Linked DNA regions of Caenorhabditis elegans. The protein of the gene in region 1 interacts with the protein of each later gene in a pairwise test. Each region holds a gene or a part of one and is shown on either strand. Other genes may lie near its edges.

The links. Proteins that work in one complex are often made in the same cells at the same time.
Region 2: the proteins of rnf-1 (region 1) and rbm-7 interact in a two-hybrid assay, tested with the Caenorhabditis elegans proteins (one large-scale study listed by BioGRID).

Annotation. Positions count from the first base shown.
Region 1 is NC_003279.8:6,009,266-6,013,195, reverse strand, and holds rnf-1 (RING-type domain-containing protein), read left to right. Parts: upstream 1-1,609; 5' UTR 1,610-1,725; coding exon 1,726-1,732; intron 1,733-1,784; coding exon 1,785-1,858; intron 1,859-1,906; coding exon 1,907-2,081; intron 2,082-2,127; coding exon 2,128-2,319; intron 2,320-2,369; coding exon 2,370-2,512; intron 2,513-2,556; coding exon 2,557-2,673; intron 2,674-2,720; coding exon 2,721-2,804; intron 2,805-2,852; coding exon 2,853-2,939; intron 2,940-2,985; coding exon 2,986-3,087; intron 3,088-3,156; coding exon 3,157-3,321; 3' UTR 3,322-3,414; downstream 3,415-3,930. Other genes in the region: ints-1 (Integrator complex subunit 1 RPB2-binding domain-containing protein), read right to left, coding at 203-567, 626-888, 943-1,138; C06A5.8 (RING-type domain-containing protein), read left to right, coding at 3,678-3,726, 3,776-3,855, 3,906-3,930.
Region 2 is NC_003281.10:12,927,867-12,933,416, reverse strand, and holds rbm-7 (RRM domain-containing protein), read left to right. Parts: upstream 1-1,549; 5' UTR 1,550-1,555; coding exon 1,556-1,735; intron 1,736-1,780; coding exon 1,781-1,989; exon of another isoform or gene 1,990-2,029; coding exon of another isoform or gene 2,030-2,235; intron 2,236-2,279; coding exon of another isoform or gene 2,280-2,325; intron 2,326-3,471; coding exon of another isoform or gene 3,472-3,525; exon of another isoform or gene 3,526-3,544; intron 3,545-3,699; coding exon 3,700-3,836; intron 3,837-4,737; coding exon 4,738-4,943; 3' UTR 4,944-5,047; downstream 5,048-5,550. Other genes in the region: Y37D8A.19 (uncharacterized protein), read right to left, coding at 2,030-2,235, 2,280-2,325, 3,472-3,525.

The sequences.
Region 1 (3,930 bases):
TTAAAATTTGACTTATTCTTTAAACTGTTTTTTTTATTTCCACTTTTCTAACACAGAATAAAAATTTCTTCTGAGATTTTGATAAACTTTAAATGCTTTTCAGCTAGTATTACACCGTTGTTTGTAGATGCTGCTTTTTGTTTCTGTTTAAATTAGGAAAAATATAAGCGAAATTTTTTCTAAAAAATCGTAAATTTATTACCTTTTTTCCCTCGACTTCCCCACTTTTTCAGAGAAGAAGCTCAAAAATTCGGAAATGGCAAAATTCTCAACCTGGCACTGCGCATACATTGCCGGAAATGGATAGACAGTTTCAAACGGATCCAAAATCATTTTCACAAGCTCTGCCGAGCACTCTTTTTCAATCCAGGAGCATCGATTCATTGTGCCGAGTCCAACGCTCATTCCAATAGAATCATGGAGAAATGCTGTTAGATAACATTTATCAAGAATTGGTTGTTGCCTTGCAAGTGAAGTGATTATTGAGATGAATAGTTCGAGAATATTGTCAGGATATGATCGAGAATTGCAAATTACGAAGAGCAGAGCGCGGTGGAGAGGAATTTGCTGAAAATTTTTCAATGATTAGAATTATTCTCCAAGTTTTTGTTAGATTTGAACCAACATTTAGCTTATCCCCATGATTTTTTACGGTTTCCGCAATTGTTCCCATTATTCTGAGCTCCACTTTCAACTTTTCTCCGACAAAGAAGCTCTTGAGCGCGGCGACGAACATTTTAGCGATTTTTGTAAAATGGCCCGCTAAAATCGCCTCCTGTACGCTTTTCTGGAAGGTTTCGATGTTTAAATTGATTGTATCTCCAAAATCTTTCCATTGATCATCGAGATTGGGGCGAACGAGATGGCTGGATTGTAGGGATGGATTTGCTGGAAATTTGTTTAATTATTAGGTGTTTTCTGGGAAAAATTGAAAATTTTTACCGGAATTACTTAGCGTTGGCTTTGGTGGAATACAAGTTTTTGATCTAAAATCCAACTTCGCTTTAACTCCTCCAGAAGTTGACGGTCCGCCAGTGCCTCCACTAGTCGTCGGGAGTTTATGGTTCAGTTTCGCCTTTTTCATGTCCTCCGGCTTCATAATCGTATCATTTAGGCGTTTGTGTTTTTTACGTTCCATTATTTATAAGATTCTAAACGAGAAACTCTTAAGATTTTCCGGAAAATAATGATAAAAACGGTTGTGAAATTGAATGAGAATAAAAAAACGAAACAAGCACGAGTGAGGCAGGTGCGCTCCAATGCGAATTTCTTTGCGCGGATGTTTAAATGGTTATTTTTTTATGGGAATCGACAAGTCACATGCTACGCTAGAGAGAGTTTTACATTTTACAGTCTTTTTGGAATTTAATAATATATATATTATCATAAAATCGAATAAAAATTGTTTCGAATAATGAATAGCTTTGTTTTTTCGTCTTGACTTCTGAAATAATTTTAAATTTGAGAAAAATTTGTGTCGCAATATATAATTATTAATATTATTAATAATGTAATTTTTTTATAATAAACTGATTTATATTTTAAAAACAAAAAAGGAATGACAATTCAGTTTAGTTTTATGAAAAACTTTGAAAAGACAAAAATAATTACAGTAAACGCGCTCCGCTAGACTCCCCAAATTTGTTTTTGTTTTCCAGGCTTGTGTCCAGGCAAATTCCAGCTTTCTTTTTGTTTCAGAATTTCTAGGTATTTATCTCCGTGAAAATGAGCGGTAAGATTGACAATCTCGAGTTTGTATTAAAATTTATTAAATTTCATTTCAGAAAAAAATACCGAAAATCCAGAAATTCTATCAACAGTCTTGGCTGGGTACTGCCAGTGCCAAGTCTGCTATCAGGTACTAATTTCCTAGTTTTACTCAATTTTCTACAAAATATGTTTGCAGCCTTTTAATGAAACCACAAAATTGGCTCGGTCCTTGCACTGTGGCCACACTTTCTGCACAGAATGCATCAGAAACGTGCAAAACTACGGTAATTCCCCACATTTAGAGTGCCCTACTTGCCGTGCGGAAACTAAAAGCAACATCGAAAATGTAGCACCAAATTTTTCAATTATGGGTAAGTTTTACCTCTTTTGAGTATTGAAATCCACGTTTTTTCTCAGAATTGGCAAGGAATTTCGGGCTTCTGGGTCCTCCAGTTGACGCTCCGCGAACTTCCTCTAGTTGCTGCTCAAATAAAACGAATAGAGATGAAATGATTGATAATAAATTCCGCGAGCTGCTTGTTGAAGTAAAAAGCAGTCTCATTCACCATTTTGACGTTTTCCGCATCAAATCACAGCTATGGAGTCTAGGCAAAGCCAAATGTGTATAAGTATTTTCTATAAAAACTGAATTTTTTCAGCAGAAGCCGAGCGAGAGGTCAGCAACATGGCTGAAGCCTTGGCAGGGGCTGTTTCTGAATGTTATTACGATTCTGACGACAATTCTGATGCGAATTCTGAGGATCAGCGAGTTCGAACTATGCTAAGGTTCTTGGCAGCAAGAGTTAGTTGATATTTTCCATGCTCCCTTGATTTGAAAATTTTCAGGACAGCGATTCTGAGACTACAGAAGACTCAACAGATTTTCTAGAATCAAATACTACTGTCCCGGACAGAACACTGGGTGGCGGTTTCTATCGCAATTTTCGTCGTCTTTTTGGAGACGTTAGTTTTCATCGAGTTAAACATTTAGAATAGAAAAAATCTTTCAGGAAAACGAACTAGATGATCCAGGTGTGGTTTCAGGTATTGAGGAGGCGGCCGCCTACCGACGTTTTCGAGGACTTTTTGGAAATGTAAGTGTCACTGTCGACAAGTTTATATTTTAGAAAAAATGTTTGCAGGACAACGACAGCATTTCGCAGGTTTCCACAACTTCCGGCAGTTTTGGGAATCATGAGAATGATCATTTTTGTCCGTTTTCCGATGACGTTAGTAGGACTTTGAATTCGATTGTTAATCTTTTTTCTAATTCAGGATAATATCTCCGAATGTTCCGATGACTACTATCCCACATTGGTTATGCCTGAAACAGATGAAGAGGAGACGTACAAAAGTTTTCGCTGCCTTTTTGGAGATGTATGTAAATTTATTGTCAGACGGCTATTTTTTAAACTAAAACAGCTGAAATTAAGAAAAAAATTCCAGGAAAACGGGAACCTCGACTTTTCCGACGACGAAAAAGAATTCTCCGACAATGAATCTTCACTCAGCTCAGTTTCCACTGAAGACTTTCCGAATTCGCACATAGAAGAAGCCGGCAGAGTTCTTCACAGATTTCTTCTGCTCTCTGCTCTTCTGAATGAAGAATAAATTACTATATAATTCAATTTTATCCCGTCTCCGCCTGAAATTTTTGTATTGTTTTACATGTTTTAATAGAGAAAATAAAGATCTCTTCTTGTTTTCCCCTGAAAAATCTGTGCGATTTCCTTTATTTTATTTTCGCTTTTGTTTCTCTTCAAAAGTGTTTTTTTTTCTCATTCAAAAATTCAGGACTTTCAAGGGAACCACATTTATTTGGAAAGGTCTCGCCGCGAAATCATAATTCAAACATGGTTGTTCATGTGCCTTTAAGATTACTGTAGAAAGTTTTGGAAGAAGTTTTGAATTTTTTTCTCCTTTCTTTCCCAAAAATCACCTACTTAATTTAGCATTTTCAGCCATAAATGTCCGCAACAAAAAGTGAAATGCCTGCGGATGTGGCATCTGTAACAGGTAATTTTTCGTTTTTATAAGATCTGGTTCCAAAATTCGAAAATTCCAGATAGTTCGGCTGCGTCGCCTGCATTCCCGCTGATAGGTGATTTTCTCGAGGAGTTTCTCAAATGCCAAGTCTGCTGCACTGTGAGTGCCCCACTTGTTTTATTGTTCAAAAATTAAACTTTCCAATTTAGAATTACAATGAGACGACAAAGCTGG
Region 2 (5,550 bases), on another chromosome or scaffold:
GAAATTGTTTTAGCATCTGCAAAAAGTATTTATTTATCAGTTTTAATAAGAAAAAACGAAAAAAATCGATGAAAAACAAAAGAAAACAGGCGGAAAACAAAGCAAGATAAATGGCCGCTGAAACTTGTCGGCCCCTCGGCCATGGCCTAGAAACCACTTTTCCTCGTCCCTCGTGAGGAAAAAGTTGCAGTGGCGCGCGAGACAGATGTGGCGTTGTTCCAATTTCTTGGCAATTAGCCAAGAAAATGGGAGAACGAACGGGGAAGAAGAGATATGGGAGACGACGGGGGAGACCCAGAAAAGGCGGAAAGTGAAAGAGCTGGGGAAAAGTAGTGGAATATCAAATTTAATCAAAATTCTTCGAAAAAAGGGGTTTTTTGCATTAAAAATCATGTTTTATGTTCATTTTATGTTTTATTACATGTTATCAGTGAAAATAATTGTTTTTGTCATCAAAAAGTATTTGTGAGCATGCTCATGAGCACATATGTGTTTGAGACAAGATTTCTAACAATTTATGGTTTAAACACACTAAATAAAGTACGAAATTACGATTAGCGTTTAAAAAAAATCAAAAATCTTTGTAAAAAATGCCAAAGAAATCAAAATTTGATGTCTTATCATCATCATTTGTGGGTTTTTAATGAATCGTCTAGCAAAAGAGAGGCAGGAAATTGCACTTTTCAGAAAAAAAACCCCACGAGGGGGCGCCTGATCTTGTTTTTTCTCGATAAAAATTGCGGAACAACGGAGAAATATTTATTTATCAATCTAGAAAAATATTGTTCCTCATAGCCTGAACCTGAAAAGAACTTTCTAGTTTTTTTGAAACTGCTATGAAATAGTTAGTAAAACAAATAAATAATGACTCATTTGGGCGCTCTGACGATCTGAAAAGCAGGTAAATTCGTCATACAGGAGAAAAATGAGGAAGAAATAACCTTTTTTCTTTTGAATTAAAAAAAAGCGGACATTTTTCTGAGGAAGAAGGGGGCTAAAGGGTGGCTAAAGGGCTCTTGAGACGGATTCGATTTATTTTTTGAGGTAGAAATATGGATTTTTAAGTCAATTTAAGTTTGGTTTCAAACAAAGCTAATTCTCAGGAATTGAGCGGTTTAGCTGTATAAAAATTTTAAAAATAAATACACCGCTCGCTCCATGGAGAAATATTAATTTTTGCTTTAAATCGAACTGTAGAGCTCTGCGAGCCTCTTCTCCACTCGACACACGGAAAAAACTAGTAAAAGTACCTGAAATATACTTTGGAAACAATTAATTTTCACAAAAAACGGAAAAAGGTTAAGTAAATTTGCTAAAACAACCAGTTTTTGTCGGCTAGGTTCTACTTTTCTAGTGCCGTGCTGGCTTTTCTCTATGCACGAGATATGCGCCAGCAAAATCGAGAAACGCGTCAGCGAGGACATGTTTGCGCCATCCGGGAATGGGAATGGGATTTATTTGGTTTTTCTCGTTTTTCTCGCTTTTTCTCTCACATGAGTGAATTTTCAGCCTTTTTTTCGAAATTTCGAATTTAAATTTGAATTTTCAGCAAAAAATGGAAATAAAACCAACGCCATCGCCTCCAGAAGAGCGCACAATATACGTGGCCAATTTTTCAGAAGAAGTCGATGAAGAATTGCTCGAAGAGCTTTTTATTCAAGCCGGCCCCGTTGTAAAAGTTATTCTGAGAGATGTGAGGGATTCTAATGCAAAATTCGCATTGGTGGAGTTTGAGGTAAGCAATTTCGCTGAAAAATTTAAAAAAAAAAATAAATTTCAGGACGAATTATCTGTACTATTCGCCATTGAATTGATGAATGGAGTGCGACTTTTCAATCAAGAACTACAAGTAAAGCCGCGAAATGGCACAAATCAGGAGGAATTATATAAGCGAAAAAAAGGAGAAATCGAGGAAAGAGTTCGATCGGTAGCGGCACCGGATCGAGACGGAAGACGGGATAGCTATAGAGATGATCGGAACAGGAATAGGTAGAGTTTATTGGATTAATTCAAGGATTTTAAGGCTCAATTAGCACGATCTGACGCAGCAAACACAGCTTCTTCCGTTTGTCGACGGGAATCCGGAGGCGCGATCTGCGGAGAGCCCGGCGGCAAGAGCAACGGATGCACAACATCCTGGGCATCGTTCGGCTGGATTTGAAGCAGCGTCAGTGCACCGAGCATTTGTAGACTGGCCGTCAATGTTGGCGACGAAGCCGGCGGCAGTGGAGCAGGCTGGAAATTGAATTTTATTGATTTTTTAGCGTTAAAAATCGTACCAAAGCAACTTGGGAATCTGTTAGCATTGTTATTGTTCCAGATGATCTGAAAAGAAACAAAATTGATTTTTTTTTTGAATTTTATAATGAAACTTCTTGAAAACTTTTCCAAAAAAAATTATGACGGCTCAAAAAATGGCCTAAAATTCGTTAAAATCGGAAATTTGATCGACTTGTCAATGTCGCAGCGGCTGGAAATATATTTTTTTGAAATCACCGTTAAATTTTGAGTCTACAAGTTGATATTTTGCGTTTTAAACTTGATTAACAAGGAAAGTCGAAAAATTTAATGTCTGACTTTGGCATGACATAGTATTTTTCGATAAAAGAGTAAAAATAATGATGCCTCCAAAAAATTTAGCTGCCCGGTTCAGGTTCAGCAAAGTTATGACGTTTTGGAAGTGACTAAAACACCTTTTTACAAAATTTCAAAATTTTCAACAAAAAAAAATTTCTAAAAAGAGGAGCAAATGTGTGTAAATTATTCAAAACAATGAAAAACATATGCTATGCAAGTTTTAGGTTATACCTCTCAAGAAAACCCACAAATTAAATCTGCAAAAAAATGTACTTTTTGGAATTTTCCTCAAGTTATGTAGATCAAGCAATGTGCTTTTTGGTCTGTGGTGAGAAAAAACGTGTATGATAAATGTTTTTCTCATTTTTGGATAAGTTAAAACAGTTTTTTCCTCTTTTTAGAAAATTTTTTTTTTTTTTGAAAATTTTGAAATTTTGTAAAAAGGTGTTCCAGTCACTTTCAAAACGTCATAACTTTGCCGAACCTGGACCGGGCAGCTAAATTTTTTGGAGGCATCATTATTTTCACTCTTTTATCGAAAAAAATACTATGTCATGCCAAAGTCAGACATTAAATTTTTCGACTTTCCTTGTTAATCAAGTTTAAAACGCAAAATATCAACTCGTAGACTCAAAATTTAACGGTGATTTCAAAAAAAAAATATTTCCAGCCGCTGCGACATTGACAAGTCGGTCAAATTTCCGATTTCATCTAATTTTAGGCCATTTTTTGAGCCGTCATAACTTTTTTCTGAAAAGTTTTCAAGAAGTTTCATTATGAAATTCGGTGTTTTCAGACAATTTTGAGCCTAATAAGGCAATTTTTAAAAAAAATTCTACTACACCAGTGGTGTAACACCACCTTTAATTATAAAAAACATTATAAAAAACTCACGCTCTGCCCCGCAGCCACAGAAATTACAGCGAAAAATACGATAAGAAGCTTCATCTCTAACTCAGACGATGATAAAAAGATCAAATTCGGCTTTATTTTATACCCGGCGTTGGCTTGGTTTCTGTCTCACAACATTTTTTTTTTGATTAAAAATCTCAGAAATCGAAGAAAAACGTTGAAAATCAACAAAAAAAGGCCGAAAAATCATTTTTTTTTTGTCTTTTCCAGAAACGGAAACAACCGTGACTCATGGCAGCAGCAGCAGCCTCCTCGTCATCATCGACAATATGATCCTCTTCCACCTCCACCGCCACCTCCACTGATGGGAGGATCCGGAGGACATTGGAGAAGCGGAGGGGAAAGAGGTAGCAAAAAAATCGATTTTTAGTTGAAATTTCTGAAAAATTGGAGATTTTTAGGCCTGAAATACATGAGAACGGGCTCAAAATAACTGAAAAATGGAAAAAAAATCTTTTTTTTAAAAATTTTTTTTTGCAAAAAATTCAAAATTTCAACCTTTTTTCCGCAAAAAAACATGCTGAAACCCTAAAAATCGATAATTTGCAAGGTTTTTGCGGAAATTAGCCGGAAAATTTGATTTTTAAAAAATTGAGCCAATTTTTGAGGAATTTTAGAAGAACAAATCTATAATTTTTCCGAAACCCCCTCAATATAAGTGAGAAATCGGTGAAAAAATCTTAATTAGAAAAAATTTTTTTTTGTTCAAAAATCTGAAAAATTGGAGATTTTTAGCCCTAAATTGCATAAAAGCAGGCTCAATTTACCTAATTAGGCCTAAAATAACTCAAAAATTGGGAAAAAAAATTACACCAGACGAAAAAAAGAGCATCGTTTGTCCAATTTTCAGACATTTTTCCGCAAAAAAAAATTGCTGAAGCTCAAAAGTGGCCAATTTTAGAGAGTTTCAGGGACTTTTTTTGCGGCAAAAAGTCTGAAAAATCATTCCTAAAATCAAATATTAGAGAAAAATTCAATGAAAACCAATAAATTTTCTGCAGAAAAACGCAGAAATGTCGGAAAAATTCGTTAATTTTTCCAAAAAATCGATTTTTTTTGCAGAAGTTTCTGAAAAGTTCTAGATTTTTAGACCTAAATTTCATGAGAACAAGCTTAATGTACCTAAAATAACTAAAAAAAATTGAATAAAATTGAAAAAGCTGAAAAAAGTTCGCTGAAAAAAGTAACCAATTCAGCCGAAAAACGCAAGAATGTCGGAAAAAAAATCGAAAAATCAATATTTTCCAGGTCCTCCACAATATTCGACTCCGCAAATGCTTCCTCATCAACATTTTGTAAATCAAATGATGCAGCAACAAATTAATAGATCCGCTCCTCCGTACAATGGACGTCATCAGAATTCCACGCCACACCGTCATCACGATCGTCATGGATATGACCGAAGCTCGAGCCGGCATCATCGCAATGATGACAGAAGACGTGAACGTTATTGATCGATGATTCGGGCGGGAAATCATAATTATTTTGATCTTTTTCACTTGTTTTGCCATGTTTTTTGGTCTCATTTTATATATTTAATAAAAGCAAACACAATTTGAAAATATAGAGAAAAATGCAACAACAAAGATCTACTGGAAATTTTCAAAAAAATTTATTTTTAGGCTCCGCCCACTTCCTGGATATCCGGAAATTTCAAGTGATTTTTTTGGAATTTTTTTCCTTTCCAGAAAAACAGATATCTCCAGGAAGTGGGCGGGGCCTAATAAGCCGTTTTTTTTTGAAAAATAAAAAAATCCAAAAAAATTTATTTTTAGGCTCCGCCCACTTCTTGGGCATTCGGAAATTTTCAGTGTTTTTTTTGGAATTTATTTTCCAAAATAACCTATCTCCAAGAAGTGGGCGGGGCCTAAAAAGCAGTTTTTTTTTGAAAATTGTTAAAAAATCAAAAAATTCGGATTTTTTTTGGAAAATCCTAAAAATTCAGAAATTCCACAGAAAAAAAACACCTTTTTTTCAATTTTGGCTAAATTTTGGCCGACCAACCAGCGAATTGCTTCGCCCACTTTCCGACCAATCAGGTGAGAGGTCCACCTTTATTAT